Linked DNA regions of Caenorhabditis elegans. The protein of the gene in region 2 interacts with the protein of the main gene of each other region in a pairwise test. Each region holds a gene or a part of one and is shown on either strand. Other genes may lie near its edges.

The links.
Region 1: the proteins of pix-1 (region 2) and sydn-1 interact in a two-hybrid assay, tested with the Caenorhabditis elegans proteins (one large-scale study listed by BioGRID).

The regions. Positions count from the first base shown.
Region 1 is NC_003279.8:2,376,566-2,383,434, reverse strand, and holds sydn-1 (Synaptic defective enhancer 1), read left to right. Parts: upstream 1-1,583; coding exon 1,584-2,422; intron 2,423-3,729; coding exon 3,730-3,876; intron 3,877-3,927; coding exon 3,928-4,042; intron 4,043-5,658; coding exon 5,659-5,800; intron 5,801-5,852; coding exon 5,853-6,346; downstream 6,347-6,869. UniProt on the Caenorhabditis elegans protein: Acts as a negative regulator of nuclear pre-mRNA 3'-end processing (mRNA polyadenylation). Plays a role in tissue-specific expression of protein isoforms by regulating differential processing of pre-mRNA 3'-end (alternative polyadenylation).
Region 2 is NC_003284.9:13,725,672-13,733,334, reverse strand, and holds the start of pix-1 (SH3 domain-containing protein), read right to left. Parts: upstream 6,043-7,663; 5' UTR 6,034-6,042; coding exon 5,962-6,033; intron 5,852-5,961; coding exon 5,725-5,851; intron 5,681-5,724; coding exon 5,636-5,680; intron 5,584-5,635; coding exon 5,448-5,583; intron 5,055-5,447; coding exon 4,959-5,054; intron 4,915-4,958; coding exon 4,792-4,914; intron 4,738-4,791; coding exon 4,608-4,737; intron 4,365-4,607; coding exon 4,305-4,364; intron 4,217-4,304; coding exon 4,062-4,216; intron 4,015-4,061; coding exon 3,884-4,014; intron 3,818-3,883; coding exon 3,544-3,817; coding exon of another isoform or gene 3,540-3,543; intron 3,438-3,539; exon of another isoform or gene 3,349-3,437; intron 2,985-3,348; exon of another isoform or gene 2,895-2,984; intron 2,578-2,894; exon of another isoform or gene 2,468-2,577; intron 2,025-2,467; coding exon 1,912-2,024; intron 1,839-1,911; coding exon 1,562-1,838; intron 179-1,561; coding exon 103-178; intron 40-102; coding exon 1-39. Other genes in the region: K11E4.6 (G_PROTEIN_RECEP_F1_2 domain-containing protein), read right to left, coding at 7,332-7,499, 7,546-7,663.

The DNA of each region.
Region 1 (6,869 bases), on a different chromosome or scaffold from region 2:
TTCATCGCCCATCCGCCCGTCCAGAACAAAATAATTATCAAAAATAATGTTTTTTTCCCGATCGCTTTTTTTTCAATTCTAGCCCACCCACCCACGCATTTTTTGCAATTTTTTAAATACTTCCTACCCGAACAACCGTGCCTTTATCTCTGAAAATCTCCTCACTTTATATGTTTTGATTTTTCTCGAAAAATTCTTTCAATTCAATTCTGACGTGGTGTCAGAGTGTCTCATTTCGGCTTGATCTACGTTGATCTACAAAAAAAAGTGCGGGGAAATGGAGGCAGAGTTCTCAACTCATTTTGCAACAAAAAAAATTCCCGCATTTTTTGTAGATCAAACCGTAATGGGACAGCCTCTGGCACCACGTGTATTCTATTCTATGATCTTTTGAGCTATTCACACCAATTTACACATACAATTTTCGAATTTTGCATCTGAACTCCCTTACCTCATTGAATATAAAAATTATTTAACTTTTTTTTTTGGAAAATTTTTGTTTTTTTTTTCGGTTTTTTATCCGAATTTCTACTATTTTGGGTTTTAAAAATTTTAGTTTAAAGGTACAGTCAAACTTTTTTTTTCTTCAAATTTGGGCGGCAATTGCCGTTCGGCAAATCGCGGAAATTGCCGGTTTGCCGGAAATTTTCAATTTCGGTAATTTGCCGATTCGCCGGAATAATTCAATTCCGGCAATTTGACTATTTGCCGGAAATTTTCATTTTCGGCAAATTGCCGATTTGCCGGAGATGCTCAATTCTGGCAGTTTGCCGATTTGCCGGAAATTTAAATTCTGGTAGTTTGCCTATTTGCCGGAAATTTTCAATTTCGGCAAATTGTTGATTTGCCGGAAATTTCAATTTTCGATAATTTGCCGATTTGCCGGAAATGTTCAATTCCGGCAATTTGACTATTTGCCGGAAATTTTTAATTTCGGCAATTTCTCGATTTGCCGGAAATTTCAATTTTCGATAATTTGCCGATTTGCCGGTAATTTTTCTTTGTCGGCAACTTCTCGATTTGCCGGAAATGTTCAATTTTGGCAATTTGCCGAAAATGTTCAATTCTGGCAATTTGCCGATTATGCCGGAATTTTCAATTTCTGCAGTTTGCCGATTTGCCGGAGATGCTCAATTCTGGCAATTTGCCGGAAATTTCAATTCCGGCAAATGGCCGGTTTGTCGACTTGCCGATTTGCCGGAAATTCATTTTCTTTATTTTCGGGCTAAATTCTTCGGTTTATTTTGTTAACTTTTTCTTCTGTTATTTATAAAAAAATTTAAAAAAAATTTCCGCCAAATTGCCGGAATTGACCCTTTCTGGCAAATCGGCAAATCGCCAGAATTGAAAATTTTCTGGCAAGTCGACAAATTGCCGGAATTAAAAATTTCCGGCAAATTGTGCTTTTTCACATTTTTGATTTTTCAAAAATTAAAAAAAATTTTTTAGTTTTTTTACAGTCATATTCGGTCATTAGAGTCTATTTTCTGCCAAAAAAAAAAAAACAGAAAAATTTTTTTAAAATAAATAAATAAAATTTTTTCGACTCTCCTCCACCTATTATAACTTAATCTCATTCAGAAATGGGAGAACCTTCACCTAGTCGGCGTCGATCAATCACCTCAGGAATACCATGCCCGTCACCAACGAAACAAGTCCTACCGCCACCGCCACCAGAAGAATTGCACAATATTCTACGAAAACGGCCACGGAGCAGCGCCATTCCGACGACGAGCCAGACTCATGTGAGAGCTCCACGTAAGGAGACGGATGTTGTCGATCGGATTTGGCACGATATTGACGAGGAGCAACGAGAAAAGCTGGCTCGGCGGAAGGAAGAAGCCGCCAAGAGAAAAGAGCAACAGCCGGCTCAACACATCAGGGACTATTTGCCATTGACTGCGACAAATTTGAGGAATTTCCGGAATGAAGACTCGACGATCAGTGATTTTATACATCGGCAGGGGATGGTTGACAAGCTGCTCGGCTACAAAATGCTGCTGGGAAAAATGGAGAACTGCGGGACGCTGGGCTACGAGAAAATGAGCGAAGACGAGGTTCAGCAGCTCTCCAGGGAATGGCTCAAAAACTTTTTCCCTTCAGAGCAAGCCCACGTCGGCCCACGTACCCCACCGAGCCCCGCCGTCGATTCTGATGGTGGTAGTTATCCGAAACGGCCTCGTCGAGGCCCGAAAACTCCTCCCGGATCTCCTGGGCCTTCGATGGATCAGGCGGCCGTGAATCGACGGGAGCTCATCGAGCAACTTGCGAGAAATTTTGGAATTAGTTCGTATAAAGTGGAGGAGACACTTGGCACTGGGTTGGACAAGGCGCTTGAGGATTGCTCGAAAAAGTTGAAGAATGAGCTGATGGAGACGTTTAAGGATCAGCTGTTGAGCCAGATTGATCGGAAAACTAAAATGTATGAGAGTTGGAATATCAATGAATTAGAGAATCCTATGTGAAAAAAATGTCAAAAATCGATAATTTCCATGAAAAATCGATAATTTCTATCAAAAATCGATAATTTTTATTTCTGAAAAACTCGATTTTTGATATAAATTATCGATTTTTGATTAAAATTATCGATTTTTGATAGAAAATATCAAAAATCGATAATTTCCATGAAAAATCGATAATTTCTATCAAAAATCGATAATTTTTATTTCTGAAAAACTCGATTTTTGATATAAATTATCGATTTTTGATTAAAATTATCGATTTTTGATAGAAAATATCAAAAATCGATAATTTCCATGAAAAATCGATAAATTTCATCAAAAATCGATAATTTGAATTTTAAAAATATCGATTTTTGGTATAAAATATCGATTTTTGATTAAAATTATCGATTTTTGATAGGAATTAACAAAAATCGATAATTTCTATCTTCACCGAAAAATCAATATTTTATCGATTTTTATAAATTTTTTGCAATAAAAAAAATCTATATTTTATCGATTTTTATAAATTTTTTGCAATAAAAAAATCAATATTTTATCGATTTTTATAAATTTTTTCATTAAAAATTAATATTTTATCCTTTTTTTCAACAAAAAACTAATAATTTATAAATAGATTTTTCCAGAATAAAAATCGATTTTTAATCATTTTTTCTTTAAAAAAATCAATATTTTACCGATTTTTAATCTTTTTTTCAGAAAAATCAATATTTTATCCTCTTTTTTGTTCAACAAAAAAACTAATAATTTATAAATAGATTTTTCCAGAATAAAAATCGATTTTTAATCATTTTTTCTTTAAAAAAAATCAATATTTTTCCGATTTTTAATCTTTTTTTCAGAAAAATCAATATTTTATCCTCTTTTTTGTTCAACAAAAAAAAAATAATTTTCAGATTTTTCGAGGAAAAAAATCGATTTTTCTGAATTGTTTTTTGCGATTTTTCAACAAAAAAAAACAATGTTTTCTAGATTTTTTAAACAAAAAATATCGATTTTTAACAATTTTTTCAATTTAATGAACATTAATCAACATTGGTAACAAAATCAATATTTTATCGATTAAAAAAATTGATTTTTTATCAATTTTTTAAGAAAAAAAATAAATGTGTTATCGATTTTTTTTTCAAAAAATTAACACCACTGTCGATTTTTCTGAATTTCTTTTTTGCAATTTTTCGGGATCCCAGGGAATCGAAAAATCGAAAAATTTGTTCGATGAAACCCTCATTTAAGATATTCTTTTTAAAAAGATATTAATTTTCAGTCGGGACGATTTATCGGATCAAATGGAGCTGGTCTCGGATTGCTCACTATCACCAGATTTGATAAAAAAGGAAGAACCAGACGTTGTGTATCATATGGCAGTACCACCACCACCTATACCTCCACCAATTCAGCCACCTCCTTATTCGTAAATTTTTTCCAGAAAAATTATTTTTTATTAAAAAAAAAGTTTTTTCAGTTACTACCCAGTAGCTCCAGCTGCTGCTCCACAAGTCTACCATTATGCTCCACCACCGCCACCACCGCCCCCGCATCCCCAGCAGGGGTTATATCAGCAGAATATGATGGCCTATGTAGGTGTTTTGTGGAAGCCTGGAGGCCCGGTTTTTGGAAAAAAATTGGTTTTTTTTTCAGAAAAAATTTAAAAAAAAACAAAACATTTTGATTTTTTTCCCCGAAAAAAAAAATTCAAAAAAAAGTTTCAAAACACAAACAAAAAATTCTGAAAAAAAAAAAGACGAAAAATTTAGATTTTTCCAGTAAAAATTTAAAAAACCCCCTAAAATTTTAGATTTAAAAAAAATTAAAAAACGAAAAATTTCGATTTTTTAAAAGAATAAAATCTAAAAACGAATAATTAAAAAATTTAAAAAAAAACGATTTTTTCAGTAAAAAAAATATAAAAATGACTAAAATCAAAAAACGGAAAATTAGAATTTTTCAGAGAAAAAAAACGGATTTTTTCAGTAAAAAGATAAAAAAAGTGATACATTTTTGATTTGATAGAAAAAAATATCGAAAAACAAATTTGTTTCATTTTTTCAGAAATTGTCAAAAAACGACAAATTTTTGGTTTTTTCATTTAAAACTATTCAAAAAAAGTAACATTTTTGATTTATTTTTAAAAAAATCGAAAAACAAATTTTTCATTTTTTTTCCAGAAAAATCAAAAAACCAATTTTTAGAAAAATAGATCAAAAAACAAAGGTTTTTTTTGGTTTTTTCAAAAAAAAATTTTTTTTTTAAATCAAAAAACGAAAAATTCGAATTTTCAGAGAAAAAACGGCATTTTTCAGTAAAGAGATAAAAAAGTGATACATTTTTGATTTATCTAAAAAAAAAATCGAAAAACGAAAATTTTCGATTTTTTCAGAAAAATATTAAAAAAACGGAATTTTTTTAGTGAAAAGCTTTTTTTTTCCGAAAAATCACTTTTTTTTGAGAAAAAATACCGGAAAACGGAAAATCGAAAAACTAAAAATTTCGATTTCTCAGCAAAAAAAAACTCGATTTTTTTTGAAAGATTCCCCAAAATTTTGGTCATTTTTCTTATTTTTAGACGTTATTTGTTTTGTTATAAAGTTATTTGTTTTCTTTCAATTCTGAGAATGCGTACTGCACAACATATTTGACGCGCAACATATTAAAATATCTCGTGGCGAAAACTACAGTAATCCCTTGAATGACTACTGTAGTGTCGATTTACGGGATCTCGATTTTCGAAAATTTTAATATTCTATCGACAAATAAATTGTATTAATTCTTTTTGAAAAACGAGCCCGTAAATCGACCTACAGTAGTCATTTAATGGGTTACTGTAGTTTTCGCTACGAGATATTTTGCGCGTCAAATATGTTGTGCAATACGCATTCTCAGAATTTAATAGTCCCGTTATAAAAATTTGAATTTTTTTTCGATTTTCTTCAATTTTTCGGTTTTCCGAAGTCAAAGTGTCTCATTTTGGTTTGATCTACCTAGATCTTCAAAAAATGCGGGAGAAGAGACGCAGACTTTTCAACTGATTTCGCATGGTTAAAAACGTGCTGACGTCACATTTTCATGGGAGAAAATTCCCGCATTTTTTGTAGATCAAACAGCAATGAGACAGCCTGACGCCACGTGTGATCCTTGATCTGATCCTTGAAATCCTGGGATTCATCAATCAATTTAAGTCTACTTTCTCTTTCAGCCCCCACCTATGCAACATTTCAATGCTCCACCGCCCCCAATGGCTCCGTATCAGCACCAGGCTCCTCCATCAATCGTCCTTCCACCGGTGAACGTTCCACCTCCACCGATTGGCGTCCGAATTGATACTCCAATTCCTACTGGCAAGACATTCCGATGAGTCGGATCCCCAAATAAGAAGAATCATTATTTCAGCAGTGCTGCCGATTCCAACGATGGTTCCACCACCTCCACTGCCACCACCACAAGCTCCATTCTCTGGAGATTGCTGGCGAGCACAGCCAGCGGCTCCGGTTCCGGCCTCCGTGCCAGTCAGTTCGGCACCACCACCATCAGTGGTTGTTAATGTACAAAGTACTCTATTCTCTGCTCTCGGGCTTCATCACAAGCCTCCACCTCCTCCTCCTCCACCTCCTCCTCCGACAACTTCTTCTACTACTACATCTCACATTCCACCACCACCTCCTCCTCCGCTTCCGTTCTCTTCGGCTCCGCCACCACCGCCACCGCTTCCGATGGTCGCTGCTGGTCCGTCTCCGCCGAGCTTTGTTCCTCCTCCTCCGCCTCCGAATCCGAATCAGAATCCGTCTATCGTTTTGTCACCATCGGCGGTAACCGGAGGCGGCGGCTACCGGCATCGTGTCAATCAGTTTCCGCCGCAGCAGCAGCAGTCGTTCTCGAACTTTTGAATCCTTTCACGTGGTGTCAGAATGTCTCATTTTGGCTTGATCTACGTTGATCTACAAAAAATGCGGGAGAAGAGACGCAGAGTTCTCCACAGAGCGGCTTTTACTACGTGGCCTAGAAAAATCGAAAACTCGGCCAATGATTTATCTGGGATTTTTGACGTGGGATGTTTTTGAAACTTGACGAGAATACTCTCGAAAGGGGGTTCTATAGTTCCACCGTGGCGATTTTTGAGAAAATGTTCCGTATCGATGTTATGAAGGTGGCCGAGTTTTCTTATTTTACGGCCACGTAGTAAAAACCGCTCTGTGTCTCAACTGATTTCGCATGGTTAAGAACGTGCTGACGTCACATATTTTTGGACGGAAAATTCCCGCATTTTTTGTAGATCAAACCATGATGGGACAGCCTCCGGCACCACGTGTCCTTTCTCATTTGCCTCTCTGTGAAAAATCTGTGAATCTTGAACATATTTGAAATATCGATTTTTTTCTCTTCATTTCCTTGATTTTCTATTTGAAATTA
Region 2 (7,663 bases):
CTCCAGACGACGGCGTGCTTTTTGTTCGGATTCAACAACCTGGAAAAATGAAATTATTGGTGCTAGATGTGACAGACCAGAAGAGAAGAATTTTTCACTCACTTTTGCTAGTTTTTGAAATTCGGTCTGAAGGAACGAAAGTTGATCTTTGATGGCGTACACAGCATCCACAATACTTCTGAAAAAAAAAGAAGAGGTGACAAATGAGCAATGAAACGGAAATCTAGATAGACGAAGAGAGAGCAAGTCGGAGGAATAGATATTGTCGTTGGAGCAAGAGCGAATTGACCATTGGGAAATACTGGTCACTTATTCAAGTTCAAACTAAATACATCCGATGTGCTCAAGGAGTACGACGAATGAAAATGACAGATTTATAGACGATGTCTAACTAAGTTCGATGTACATAAAGTTTTAAAGATAAATTTGAAATGTTTTCTAAATGCACGAATCTTTTTATGTTCGTTGAAGAATAGCTTATAAATTTATTTAAATTACACACTTGTGAAGGGAAATTTGAAATAAAGATTGTTATGGTTTTCACTTAAAGGTCGAAAAAGGTCGAAAACATGACAAAACAAGCTATCCTACTGAAAGTTATCTAAAAAACAACTCACGTCCTGTTTTTCATCAGACAACAATTTCCGATGAACGGCTATAATACTATAATACCAAATAATATCAGTAAACAAGGAAACTACAAAAAATTGTCTCTACAAAAATTATCCCCTCTTCATCTTGTTATCTTTGGGGATACTTGTTTTTCCTTGTCAGCTTATTACTTTTCTTTAAAAGCAGTACGAAAAATAATAACTGAAAATGGACGATATGCAAAACAGACAAAAGAAGAAAAAGAAGAAGCAAACATGACTAGATGAAAACAATCATTATTTACTGGTGATCAAAAATTATATTTTTACAGAAAGTAAATGTTTGATCTCTTTTTGGCTTCGAAATGAAGGGCCTTGTTAGGAATATCACTATTGGCACGTTGTGCAAGGCTGTCCGATTACGGTTTGATCTACAAAATATGGGGGATTTTTGTTGCTAAAAATGTGACGTCAGCACGTTCTTAACCATGCGAAATCAGTTGAGAACTCATTCAGTTTTAAATACACAGTGGAAAACGTTTTGGCCGGTTTTGAATTGAGAACTAAAAAATTGTTCAAAGCTGAGCCACGTGCCCAAATTACTCTACTTGGGAATCAACACTGGACATATTTGAAAAAAAAAAACAGAAATTTTAAAAGAACCTTAGAAAAATCAACTTCTTTACTAAAAAAACATCAATTTGGGGGGGGGGGGGGATTCCAATTTTGCAAAGTTTCTAGATATTTCAGGTTTGCTGAAGTTAGTTTTTCTTATCAATCAATTATCGATTTTCCTATTCGTCCGTTATTTTCCCACCCAATTTTTTCATATACGCCACCCTAATATCTATGATTCAGCAAGAGAAGAGGAAACGAAAAGGTTAAATTTTTTTACAAATTGTGTACAATCTTGACCCTAGAAAAACTGAACTGGACTCTTCTAAGGTCTCATCGTTCAAAAAAAAACTTACTTCTCTTGCAAAACAACTTCATCTCCAATCATCTCCTCCATCAGAATCTTCTCATCTTCTGCAACAATCAAATGTGGTTGTTGATAACTTTCATTTGCATGGAAGTCCGACTGTCCGCCACCAGTTTCCACACAGTATCCTTCCAAAATTCGAAGTGTCTCAAACTCAATCTCCTCATCACGAGCCGCGTCTTTTCGAAGTCGAATGTTACGATCACCTCGTTTGCCGGCGTTCCCGCTTAGGAAAAACGATGGGAACTGGGAGAATTGCAGGTTATCTGAAAAAGATTTTTGTTAGTTGATAATCATAATCACGACAGAGAAAACAATAAATAACAAAATATCTCCTACCTGCAGTATTCCTTGAATTGCGACTGCTTGTTGGCAGCTCAAATCCTTCAGGGAGCACCATTCCGAGTTCATGATCGAACTTCATATTTCCCAAGTTTAAACTGTCATCAAAGCTGAAAATTTCAAAATTTAGGTCTCGTTCCATGTTTTATTTGTTTTTTATCATTATTTTTTATATTGTCCACACAAAAAACTTTTCACCCTAATTTCTCCTATCTCAATAGCCATTGTATCTGTTACGAACTATTCTTCGTGATCTATTGAGTCCGAAATTTCACATGCGACAGTTAGAAAGTCTTCGTGTTTTGATCCGTGAAGAACACACAATTTCTTGTGTTGCCTAAATTGGTGAGCGTTAATGTTGCCAAGTCTTGTTATCCAAAATCGAGGGATCGAAAAACATAGAGATTTTTGGTGAGAAGAGATTTGTCCATCTAATACATAAATACCAATTAATCTAAGTAGTAATTTACATCAAATTTTTCGCTTCATACTCTATCCCATCCCATCAAAATCGTATTTGCAATATCTTTTTGCATACATTTGTCTAGAGGACAAATGCAAAAAAAGGTAAGCCCAATGCGGGGCTCGAACCCGCGACAACCAGATTAAGAGTCTGGTGCTCTACCGACTGAGCTAACCGGGCGGCGATAGGAACCGAGGCGCGTGTAATTTAAAAAGTGAAAATGTCAGGCGCACTTTGTGGCTGTCAGGAAGTGTCTCGCACTTTTTAGTGTAATAGTGTGTTGAAATTTGTTAGGTCGTCGGTCGTTGCCAACACTGTTAAAATAAACAAACCGGCAAAATTGATTTCTCGCGACATTGAAAATTAATTGAATAGCGATACTTTCAAAAAGTGTATAGGATTTAATAAGAAAATTCCTTTAATGTTGAAAAAATATTCCACCTAGAAACTTCGCACCCCAATTTAGAAAAGTGAGTAAATTTTATAGTAAAGTTTTTTTAATGATCATTTGAGATAGACAAAAGCGTAAGCCCAATGCGGGGCTCGAACCCGCGACAACCAGATTAAGAGTCTGGTGCTCTACCGACTGAGCTAACCGGGCGGCAAAAGTAGATGTGGTGCGACCTTTCAAATAGAAATATGTCACGTTTTTCAAGGACAGTAATGTGATTGACGCCACTTGTTCGTCTCGGTATGTGGTATGTACACTTTCACTGAGAAAAAACTGCGTAGCGTGTTTGAACAGATTTCAAAAATTATGTTTTTTTAAATCTGTGCATAAACGCCACGCTGTTTTTTTTCAATACAGTGTTTAATATTCAAAAAAAATTTTTTTTAATTTTTTTCCGTTTTGGTACTACTTTTGAAGTTTTGAGAATAATACAAACTGGTATCACGAATTTAATCTCAAAATTTGGCAAATCATGGAATTTCTTTAAATACTTGTAATAGGAAAACCAATCGCAACGAACAAAAAACTAAGCCCAATGCGGGGCTCGAACCCGCGAGAACCAGATTAAGAGTCTGGTGCTCTACCGACTGAGCTAACCGGGCGGCGAAAAGAAATATAACTTAATCGAAAATAATTGAGGGTTAAACGTTGCGAAGACATTTTTGATAATTGTCTGTTCATTCCAATTTTACACGGTTAACATGAAAACACTCACTTCTTCGAGCTTTTTCTTTTGTTCATCATACTATACTGTTGATCCGAGTTTCCTGGGGGATGAAGTGGGGGTTTTGCGACCAGAGGAGTCTCTGCTCCTTGAGTCTGTGATTGATTCATTGTATCGTTAGCATTTTTGGAAGGTCTCCTCAAGATAGTTGTCGTCGGAGTGATGATTGCCACGTTTTCAGCTTTCGCCAAAGCAACAAGGAATCTCTCCACCTCACCCCCGGTTGAAACCATCGTTAGAGTGAATTCTCCAGTGTTGGGGCGATCTAGAAAAACTTGGGTTACTAATTTGTTTTTTTTTTTAATTTTAATTTTTTATCCGAATATTTTACCAAATGAAATTTCAGTAGCTTCCTTTTTCCGAACAATAAAACCGGACACTGTAAACTTCTCCTTAATGTCGTATGTCATATCCTTGGTGACTTCGAAAAACATAATGTATTTAGTGAACAATGCCACGAATCTGAAATCACTTCTAAATTTGAACAGGTAAAATTTTCGGCAACTCACCGATCCACTGCATCCGCTTTCTTGTATTCCACATTTGCAACACCCACATAGAGAATAGATCCTCGTTCTGACGCTGAAACCACCTTGTCCACTTTTGACACAAACAAGAAGTCGAGTTGGGCTTCTTTCTGCTTACGAAGGGTTTCACACAAATCCTAAAAATAGTTTGATTTTAAAACTTGTTGATCCTAATTCTTGTGAGTCAGTTAGATTTGTGTTTCTAATATTTTTAAAACAACGCACCTTTGTTTCCCGAAAAACTGCCGATCCACGTTGTAAATCTCCACGGTCCGGATGATTCGCCTGAAAATTTTTTTGATGATGATCTCATTGACTCAAAATGATATAAAAATTATTATGCATTAACAACGTTTGTTCACATGAGTAGACTTGATAATTTAACATAAAAAAATTATCATAATAAAATTTTCACAAAAATGATGTATTTTAATTAAACAACTGTGCTTTCTCTATGAAAAAAAATTCCAGAGTTTAATGAATCGATTGACCTATGTTTTTTTTTCTCATTTAGATTCAAATACTCACCGGAACAATTCGCTCAAGCTCCTGGAGCAAGTTGTAGTACCTCTCGACGTGCCGGAGTGGCTCACTGAGTCCTAACACCAATTCCTTGTACTCCCGATCCTGCGACTTTACCACCTTTTCCAACTCCTTCCTGAAAACGCGAAACAATACATTCGATACATTCTCTAGCTCTGTCAAAACTTACTGTTTCTTCTTGAGAACTTCGACAGCGTCTGGATGATTGTCAGCATAACTCATTAGTGCCGTTCTGAGCTCAAGAGCAGCATTCATGAACATTCCACCGACTCTCATTTTTGGAAGCTCCTCACTGAAATAAGAAAGTTGAAGAAGGTTGGAGAAATTAAAACTCACTTTTGCTCACGCTCCAGTTGTTCAAAAAGATCACGTTTCAGAGTGTAAATTACTTCGAAATTCCCAACCAACGTACAGTATTCTGGAGCCGTCAAGCTGAAAATTGTCAAAAATGTATTATTGTCGTACCCAAAAATGAAAATCCACCGGAAATGCAATGGAACTTGATGTTTTTCTCAATGTAAATCTCAAAGTAAATTGTAAATAAATATGAATAATTTAGGTAATAATTTAGGTATACTTTTTTAAAGCTTTAGCTAGACTCAATTTTTTTTTGAAAAATGGGACCTGTGACTGTATTTTGAAACAGTGAGCTACTCGCCCCACTTTTTAAGATACTTTTTTTCATAGCGCAGAGGTGCCCATCATTCCAAATTTCAAGTTATCAATTTTTAGAATCTGGATTGATCAACAAAAAAAGCAATAAGAAAAATCCGCAATGAATTAAATTCACATTTTGAAAGTTAAAAAAAACATTTTAAAACTCACATTTTAGATGCCCCAATTGGAATCAATAGAGATTGCAACGTTTTGAGCAAGCTTTGCATGTACTCCTTTTCCGATTCAATATAACTTTTGAGCACAAGGTCTCGATAATCTGGTTGAGCTCCGACGGATACCACTTCTGAATTTTTAAATTTGAATTGTCTCAACGAGTAAATCTTCATGAGATATACCTTTTGCAGTTGCATTTGGGACGGATCGAGATCGCTGGAGTTTGTCTGCAATTTGTGGGTATTAGCTCGAATTTTCCGATTCAAGTTACCTTTTTCTGTGATGAGAGTTACATAGGCACACGGAAACCATCCGGTCACTCCTTCATGTGTTCCTTCCCACCATCCGCCTTCTTGCTGCTGTGTTATTGTGATGATGTCATCCTTGTCGAAACTTAGCTGAAAATTCGTGGAATGATACTTTTGTCAAAAAGTAATTTAAGTATGTACTATTTTTTAAATTAAAAAAAAATTTCACAAGTTTGAATGTGTGGGAAACAAAACCTCACCTCATCGTTATTTGAACCTTCGAATTGAAATTTCGCTCGAGCCGATAACGGAGAACCCGAACCAGGTTCCATTTTCTGAAAAAATACTGTATTCGGTGAACATATTCGATAAATTTTTAACAAAAAAAATTGAGAAAAATTCAAAATCAATAAATTCTCAAATAACACATTTTTAGTAATTAATAACCCTGTGGAGTTTAAAAATACTGTCGATGGAATCGATAGAACGGGTGAACACTGAGTAAGAAATGCAAACGCGCTCCATCGCACTCTCTGGGTCTCTTTTGCGGGGTGTATCTCTCGTCTTTTCAACCCGTATAGTGGCGGCCCCTCAACGGACTTACGGTGATAAATAACATGTGTTGACCCTTTCTCTTCACATCTCACGAACAAAGTGCTCTTTTTGATGCTCTTTTGAACATTGTTTTGTGTAGAGATGAATTTTTATTTTATAAGAAAGAGATTTATGATGTAAATTTGGAAAGTAACTAAATTCAAGGAAGGAAAACTTCGAAATGCCGGTAAAACTCATTATAATAGCATATTTATCAAATTTGATATCAAATACATTTCAATTTTTTAGAAACAAAACTATAATTTTTTGCATTTTTTCTTATTTTTCGACTGCTCGTTTCCCTTTTTAGAAGTTTTAAAGAATATCCCCAAAAAATTTGAAGTAGGTATAAACATTATTTTTGCGGTGGAACCCATCTCAATGAATCCATGCCACTCCAATTGTAACATTCAAAAAAATTTCAATACTAAGCTATCTTTAAAATTCCACAAAAAACCTAATCAATTTAAGATTTTTCAAATGATGTTAGAGTAAGACAAGAGGATGGCAGACATAGTCGTCTGTGATTGAAAAAGTGAAAACAGAAAACGTGTTCCGATCATATCAGATCGAAACCTTATCATGTTATATCTTTTAACCGAACCCACAAAACTGAACAATTTGTTTGAAAATGATTATAGGACAAGATGTAACAACGGAAGTATTCTGGCTTAGCTATTTTCTGAAAATTGCTACAAAACCACGTATTTGTTGCTTTTATTCAACCACATATTCAAATACATACATACCTATTTAAATTATTTTAAAGAACAGCTTTAGTTTTTCTTTTTTTTCAACAAAAAAAAAAACAAATCCATATACGCGCTCTATGATATAAAAATTGAGAAAATGCCCTATTTAATAGCCCTAAAAACAACAATCCAACAAATAATAGAACACTTTTTATATAAAATATGCAGAATAAGAAATTAAAAAAATATATATTCATTAATTAAATTTATACAATTAAAAAAAAACGATGACCCGAATTTACATTATTCACACAATTTCTAGTCACAAAATATTTATGATAAATTCATTTTCTCTCGGAAATAACGCTCCATTGCCGCTGATATAGATTGAAATAAGTTTGCGATACTCCTTTCCCATTTTGGTTCAGCTCTCGGAGTTGTCTTCTCTGGAACTCGTTCCTGGTGGTCACCAAAATTGTCATAGAAAGTAGCAATGACACGTAAGGAAATATCTGAAATCTCAATTTTGAAATGCTTTACCAGATAGTAATAACTTACAAATGTGTTAATCGCGATAAATTTATAATTTGTGAGACTAAGAGAGTCTCGGAATGCTCTTACTACCATGGCAATTAAAATATAGGCAGAAACAAAGACAGTATTCAACAAGACCATT